Macaca fascicularis: one gene and its partner. The protein of the gene in region 1 binds, or shares a complex with, the protein of each later gene. Links are inferred from orthologs where the notes say so. Each region holds a gene or a part of one and is shown on either strand. Other genes may lie near its edges. The genes, in order: ERCC3 and POLR2D.

Region 1 (3,808 bases):
CTCTCAGGAACCTACTGGAACATGTGCTCCATCAAAATGAGTCACCAAGAGGGTGGAGACTTGAGGGTGGGAAACGCAACAAAGAGGCCCAGGAAATTCATGGGGTGGTGCAAGGGAAACCCCATGAGAACAGCTGGTGGCATCGCTAGTCCCAGACAGCAAGCAGGTCAGAACAGAGTAGGGGGATGGAGTGCTGGTGGGCATCCCACTGGGGAAACAGAAAAACAGAACTGAGAAATTACCTGACCCTACTGAGTTTATGGTTATGTGAAGAGTTTGGAGAGGAATAATTAAATGTACAGAAAACCAAGCAAAAACAATGACAAGGCAATTATTAACTCCAAGGCAAACAAATATTCACAAAAAAGAAAATGTAGGGCCAGGCATGGTGGCTCATGCCTGTAATCCCAGCACTTTGGAAGGCTGAGGCATGCAGATCACGAGGTCAAGAGATCGAGACCATCCTGGCCAATATGGTGAAACCCCGTCTCTACTAAAAATACAAAAATTATCCAGGCCGTGGTGGCGGGTGCCTGTAGTCCCAGCTACTCGGGAAGCTGAGGCAGGAGAATCACTTGAACCCAGGAGGTGGAGGTTGCAGTGAGCCGAGATAGCACCACTGCACTTCAGCCTGGAGAAAGAGCAAGACTCCGTCTCAAAAAAAAAAAAAAAAAAAGTAATAGTACTCTACACCTCCGCCTGAACAATGACACTATATGGCTCTCTCTAAACATACTTACACAGTCAAAACAATGTAACAGTGAATATTAACGTAACTCCCAACTTGTGCTATTCCCATACTGGGAGAATGGTAGGAGAGAAAACAGGAGTGGGGAGAGTAGTGTACGTGAGAAAGCTAAACCCTCAACTCCTACAGTAGGAAGTTAATGGGCAATTTCTATAACTGATCATCAAGAAATTACTACATAAGCTACTGCTTAGAAAGATGAAGGTAGGCCAGGTGTGGTGGCTCATGACTGTAATCCCAGCATTTTGGGAGGCCAAGGCAGGAGGACTGCTTGAGCTCAGGAGTTTCAGACCAGCCTGGGCAACATAGCAAAACCCCATCTCTACAAAATATATAAAAATTAGTTGGGTGTGGTGGTACATGCCTGTAGACCCAGCTACTCTGGAGGCTGAGGTAGAAGGACTGATTGAGCCCAGGAGGTCAAGGCTGCCGTGAGCTGTGATTATGCCACTGCACTACAGCCTGGGTGACACAGTGAGACCCTAACTCCAAGAAAAAAAACAAAAAGAAAGAAAGAGAGAAAGAGAGAAAGAAAGAAAGAGCGAAAGAAAAAGAAAGAAAGAAAGATGAAGGTAAACAACAAAAAAGAGTGGAAAGTGGCTGTCTTCAAGGAATAGAATTGTGGGTGGGAAAATAGAAGCAGGGAATTGCTGTTTTTCATAATAATCTAAATGTTGACTTGGATTAAAAAGTCTTTCTAAATTAAATAAAGGTATAATTTTAGAAACCTGAGAAGCTTAATCTTTCTATGCCTTTGTTTTCCCTTCTATAAAATGGGAACAACATCTTCTATGGCTGAAGTGAGGATTAAGTAAAACATATGTATGGTACACGTAGCAGACAGCTTGACCAGTCTCCACAGAGGGCCTGGCCTTCTGCAACACTTACCGCACCTGAAGTCCTGTATCACTGTGGGAGCAAGTGCAGGCCTCTTCCTCCTTACCTGGCAGAGCTTTACAAGAGCTGGGTTTTAAGCAGATATTTGGCTGGAGCTATGGGTTGATGAGGATACTGCATGGGCGTTTCTAAGAAGCTCCTTCCAGATGCCAGTCTGTACGTGGGATGCCAGCCCAGCCCGTCTTGCCCTCCCAGCCCCTAGGCCATCCAGTCTGGCCTCCTCTCCACCCACAGAGCTCCCACAGTCCAAAGCTCCAAATGCCAACTCCCACCCACATTTGGAGCCCAGATCTTCCAGGGGGCCCCACCCAGCTCAGTCCAAGTCTCTGCTCCCTGTTCTTTGGGCTCCAGTGACCAGCCCCCTTTTCTCTATGCTCTAACCTCTGACTCCAACCACCTACTTCTAAGTCTTCCTTGGTTTACTGAGACCAGGGCCACAGAACAAGATCTTTGGATCCCAAGAGGTTCCTGAGAGGAAAAACAAAAAAACAAAAACAAAAAAACAAAACAACAGCCACCTTCTGCACTCTCAATGGGGAAGAGAAACTGGCCTGGAGGAAGCTCCAAGTTTTCAGTTCTTACTTGTTCAGTCGAATGGCATATTCCTTCAGGGCAAACACATTGTCAGCAAAGACGATAATCTTGTCATTCCTCCTTTCATGAAACTTGATCAGAAACTGGCAAGCTCTAAATTTGTTGGGGTTCATGGTGTACAGCAAGATTCGTTTCTTGGTTTTGATTGCTACATATTCCCGGTAAAATTCAGGAGACATAGGGCACCAAACCTGTGATGCAGTAAGAACCAGGGGTCATTTTACAAGTTTAAACATCACATAATTAAAAACTTTTGAAGACCTTTCTCTAGCAGAATTAGCTTTAAAACAAAACCACACCGGGCGCGGTGGCTCAAGCCTCTAATCCCAGCACTTTGGGAGGCCGAGACGGGCGCATCACGAGGTCAGGAGATCGAGACCATCCTGGCTAACACGGTGAAACCCTGTCTCTACTAAAAAATACAAAAAAACTAGCCGGGCGAGGTGGCGGGCGCCTGTAGTCTCAGCTACTCGGGAGGCTGAGGCATGAGAATGGCGTAAACCCGGGAGGCGGAGCTTGCAGTGAGCTGAGGTCCGGCCACGACACTCCAGCCTGGGCGACAGAGTGAGACTCCGTCTCAAAAAAAAAAAAAAAACACAAAACCAGTCAAGTGCAGTGGCTCATGCCTATAATGCCAGCACTTTGGGAGGCTGAGGCAGGCAGATCACTTGAGACCAGGAGTTCGAGACCAGCCTGGCCAACATGGAGAAACCCAGTCTCTAGTAAAAATACAAAAATTAGTTGGGTGTGGTGGTGCACATCTGTAATTCCAGCTATGCAGGAGGCTAAGGCAGGAGAACCACTTGCTCAGGAGGCGGAGGCTGCAGTGAGCCAAGATCACACCACTGCACTCCAGCCTGGGTGACAGAGACCCTGTTTAAAAAAAAAAAACAACAAACAAACAAACAAAAAAACCAAAACCAATGGTATGTGAATTAGAAATCAATACAACTGAAAATAAACACATGCACAAAACTAAACCCAACCTAATACCTCCTGTTGAACTGGATGCTTTCACATGTCAACCACTTAGAAGATGTGTAAATGCAATCATATCCCAGGAGTTATTTTCACACCAGCTGCCAGTGAGGGAAACCAGCGTCTTAGCCGGTAGCACCAGCAATTCCTCCACACACACAAGTCAGCACTGCTGCTGAGTACTGCCACCTATTTACACACCTCCTAGCAGGGCCAGGAGCATGTCAGTTAGGCCCTTGGGCCCATCAGAGCAAAACCCTTTGCTGCCAGGCTCCCAGGCAGCACTGTGGTATTGGGGGCCTTCATTATTCCCTGTGCCCTGAACGCTAATCCTCACCCACAGAAATCCATGACTGGTAAACCCCGTGGTTAGCAAAAAGAATCATCACAAATTCAGGGGTATGTGAGATATGTGACAAGGCAGAATACATGCAGCAAGTGGGTCTAGTACCACCCACTCACAGGGTGACTGAGGATCCTGCCTGAGGTGGTAGCAGGTAAGCCTAAGTCCTGACCTGTGTCTGCCCATGAGGAATCGATCTGATCACTCCCCGGCCCACGGGAGGAGGCCCTATCCCAGACACCCCCAGC
Region 2 (4,271 bases), about 590 kb from region 1:
TGCAGTGAGGCGATCATAGTTCACTGCATCCCTCAAGCGATACACCCGCCTAGGTCTCTCCAGTAGCTGGGACTACAGGCGCGCACCACAACGCCAGGCTAATTTTTGTATTTTTTAGAGAGGAGGTCTCACTATGTTGTCCAGGCTGGTCTTGAACTCTGGAGCTCAAGCGATCCTCCAGCCTCGGCCTCCCAAAGTGCTGGGATTTCAGGCGTGAACCACTGTGCCCGGCCCAATTCATTTGTTGTTAAATCAACAGAGTTTACAATATGACCTTCTAAACATTGTTGACTAATGAGCTAAGATATCGTTGACTAATAAGCTACGATTATTTCCTTTATTGTACAACCTTTCGTTTTCTCCAGTGTAGAAAACAGCATCATTTTTCATTTGCATTTCTTTTTTCTTTTTTAATATATATATATATATATATATATATATATTTTTTTTTTTTTTTTTTGAGACGGAGTCTCGCTCTGTCGCCCAGGTTGGAGTGCAGTGGCGCGATCTCAGCTCCCTGCAACCTCCGCCTCCCGGGTTCAAGCGAATCTTCTGCCTCATCCTTCCGAGTAGCTGGGATCACAAGCGCCCACCACCATGCCCGGCTAATTTTTGTATTTTTAGTAGAGATAGGGTTTCACCATTTTGGTCAGACTGGTTTCGAACTCCTGACCTCAGGTGATCCCGTCGCCTTGGCCTCCCAAAGTGCTGGGATTACAGGCGTGAGTCACTGTGCCCGGCCGTCATTTGCTTAATTTTCTATGCATCACCCAAATGTTCCAACAGACGTGTGGTAAAAGCCTCTGAATATCATTGTCCGCGTGCTCAGAAGTATTAGATAATCCATCACAAATGAATAAAATTTTAGAAGTGTAAGTCAGTGAAAGAAATTCGACCCGGCACGTTCGGAGTCGGCTGCCCTGCTCTCCATCAGCAGGCGTTCCTGCAGCTCATCTGACCCTCTCCGCCCAGAAAGGCCTAGGGACCTACCCCAGGACGTCTGCGCGGCGAGGCGCGAGGGAGGAGAGGGAGTGCAGGGCGGCCCTGGGCGGCGGGGAGCCTCCGGGACAACACCAGCAGGTCCCCTCGCTGCGCCCCGCCAGCCTCACACTCCCGGCCCCGCCCACCCCTCGGGGCCCCTCCCAAGACCACGCCCCTTCCGTGGCCGTTGCTCCGCGCTTCCGCTTCCGGCGGCGCTGGTGGTGGCGCGCGACTCAGCGATGGCAGCAGGTGGCGGCGATCCGCGGGCTGGCGACGTAGAGGAGGACGCCTCACAGCTCATCTTTCCTAAAGGTTGGGCTCGGGGCCGCCAGACTGCCCCGCGGCACTTCGCGTGGTCGCCGCAGGCCTGGCGTTATCCGCGCTTCGCCCAAGGCCTGGCCTCGGCGGCGGCTTGGGCAGACCCCCGCGCGGCGTAGGGCTGGGGAGGGAACGTGGACCTGGGAGTGGCCGCCTGGGCAACTGGGTTATTTTATGTGATAACAAACTGCGAAGTTCCGGGCGCTGGTGTCAAAGGTAAACAAAGCCGGAAACCCAGGTGGTGAGGACAGATTTTTAAACAGGGATAGAACGTTGCACTAGGGAGAAGAGTCCAGCGTGAACCGAACTCAACTTCGATTAGTACCGAACCTCTGGGCGTTTTAAAGGAGAGTTAGGGAATAAGGATGTGGTGAGCGGGGGCTCAGGGGAGTCGGGGAAGTGAGAAATGTAAAAAAGAGGGAAGAGGAGGGTCCGTGTGAACCCACCTTGGTTTGTTGACTGCAGCATCTATCGAAGTTAGGCCCCTACCCTCCCACCGAGGCGGAGAGACAGAGGCCTGTTTTCAGCCGTTGGCTGGAACAAACAAATTATTTTGTTTTTTTTTTTTTTTTGAGACGGAGTCTCGCTCTGTCTCCCAGGCTGGAGTGCAGTGGCGCGATCTCGGCTCACTGCAAGCTCCGCCTCCCGGGTTCACGCCATTCTCCTGCCTCAGCCTCCCGAGTAGCTGGGACTACAGGCGCCCACAACCGCGCCCGGCTAATTTTTTGTATTTTTAGTAGAGACGGGGTTTCACCGTGGTCTCGATCTCCTGACCTTGTGATCCGCCCGCCTCGGCCTCCCAAAGTGCTGGGATTACAGGCGTGAGCCACCACGCCCGGCCCAAACAAATTATTTTGGCAGCCTCGAGTTTTCTCAGGCACGCAGTGGTTGGGGAGGGTATTCCTAGGGATAAGGACCTCAAGACCTCAAGTGATCCATCCACCTTGGCCTCACAGAGCTGGCATTACAGGCGTGAGCCACCTCGCCCTGCATTTTTTTTTTTTTTTTTTTGAGGCAAGATCTCATTCTGCTACCCAGGTTGGAGTGCAGTGGTGTGATCACAGCTCACTGCAGCCTCAACCTTCCCAGGCTCAGGTAATCCTCCCACCTCACTTCAGCCCCTGGAGTACCTGGAACTACAAGTGCACACCACCACACCTGGCTAGTTTTTGTATTTTTTTTGTGGAGACAAGATTTCACCATGTGGCCCAGGCTGGTCTTGAATTCCTGGGCTCAAGTGGTCTACCTGCCTTAGCTGCCTAAAGTGTTAGAAAGTACAGGTGTGAGCCACTGCACCGGGCCTATTAATGGTCGTGATGACGGAACCTTACTAAAATTTCCAGATGACATACTGGCCAAGGAATTGTTTTCCTTTTTTAGCAACAGGGATTAATTATGGCCATTGTTCTTAAAATATTTGCACAAGAGAGAATAACATGCAGATCCCCTGATCTGTTTCCTTTTGTTTCCAAATAAATTGTGTGTGTGTGTGTGTGTGTGTGTGTGTGTGTGTATGCTTTCACTTGAAAATGTTTATTGGAATTAGCCATGGGGAGAAGTCTTGGATTCCTCCTCTCCGTAGTTATACAAAAGTGTCTGAACTGCCTCCCCCATCCCCATTTTGTTGATGCCGAATCCTGGGAATGCCTCCCAAAAGCTCTGTGGTAGGTCTCAGACACCCCTTTCCTAGGCCCTCTGAGTTACAGTTTGGCTGCCTTGACCTTCCTTGGTTGAAGGGAGTGAGGGTAATGTATTAGTAGTACTTGAATATTGTTCTTAATGAGAAATAGGGACAGCTGACTAGTTTCCTGGTGGCCTAAAAGTTCCATTCCTTTCCATTTAACAAGTAATTTTGGTTTAGTGCAGAAAGGGAGGCATCTGTTTTGTTTTGTTTTGTTTTTTTGAGACAGAGTGTTTCACCCTTGTTGCCTAGGCTGGAGTGCAGTGGCACAATCTCGGCTCACCGCAACCTCCACCTCCTGGGTTCAAGCGATTCTCCTGCCTCAGCCTGAGTAGCTGGGATTACAGGCATGTGCCACCATGCCCGACTAATTTTTGTATTAGTAGAGATGGGGTTTCACCATGTTAGGCTGGTCTCGAACTCCTGACTTTAGGTGATTCACCTGACTTGGCCTCCCAAAGTGCTGGGATTACAGGCATGAGCCACGGCGCCCAGCCTGGGATGCATCTCTTAACATTGATTTTTCCAGGACCTGTAAAAGCATCAAAGTTCCAACACACCGATTTGTAACTGATTAGCTACTTCTTCCCTTTTTTGTTTTGGCCTGATGTCATTTGTTACTGTCGCTTCAGAGTTTGGAGGTCCTGCAGTCCTGATATATAATGCCTTTTCCTCTACTCATTGCTGTGAGGCAGTAGTTTCTTCTGTACCTACAGTGCCTCAGTGTTAAAGATTAAAAGTAGTAAAGTTCCTGGTATACAAATAGGCACTCACTGTAGTACATCCCCTGTTATAGGCTGGAAGACAGAAAAAGGTGTTCTGAGGTTTTTGTTTAAACTCTCCTGCCCTCAGGTAGAAAATAGCTTTTGGTTACCTATTTTTTTATTTAGATTTTAATTTTATTTCAATAGTGCTCCAGCTGTATTGGTAGCCTATTATATTCAGTAGCAATGAGTACCTTTCAAATAAAAATAGACTTTCCTCCTGACCTACCACTTAAACTGTCTGTGTCGTGAAAGGAGAATGAGGCTCTTGTCAGTTACCCGGCTTGAGAATTGGGAAGGCGTTACTCTGAGGGAGGTGTTAGTGATTTCCCCGATAATAAACAGACCTATAGCACGTGTAAATGTGAAATTGCAAGTCATTCTGGCTTTTCCTCACTGTTGCTTCCTTTTCAGTGAGGGATTATAAACATGAATTCATGTTTATGAATGGTTCCTGCTCTAGGGGAATTCACTGTTAAGAGAAGGGCAGATAAAAACGATCTCTAATACTTTGAGATAAACATCAG

The links.
Region 2: ERCC3 (region 1) and POLR2D share a complex: the UniProt entries of both Homo sapiens proteins name them as parts of the TBP-based Pol II pre-initiation complex. The link is inferred for Macaca fascicularis from reciprocal best matches to the Homo sapiens genes ERCC3 and POLR2D.

The regions. Positions count from the first base shown.
Region 1 is NC_088386.1:4,262,378-4,266,185, reverse strand, and holds part of ERCC3 (general transcription and DNA repair factor IIH helicase/translocase subunit XPB), read right to left. Parts: intron 2,431-3,808; coding exon 2,228-2,430; intron 1-2,227. UniProt on the Homo sapiens protein: ATP-dependent 3'-5' DNA helicase/translocase. Binds dsDNA rather than ssDNA, unzipping it in a translocase rather than classical helicase activity. Component of the general transcription and DNA repair factor IIH (TFIIH) core complex.
Region 2 is NC_088386.1:3,675,159-3,679,429, forward strand, and holds the start of POLR2D (DNA-directed RNA polymerase II subunit RPB4), read left to right. Parts: upstream 1-1,195; 5' UTR 1,196-1,220; coding exon 1,221-1,293; exon of another isoform or gene 1,294-1,515; intron 1,516-4,271. UniProt on the Homo sapiens protein: Core component of RNA polymerase II (Pol II), a DNA-dependent RNA polymerase which synthesizes mRNA precursors and many functional non-coding RNAs using the four ribonucleoside triphosphates as substrates.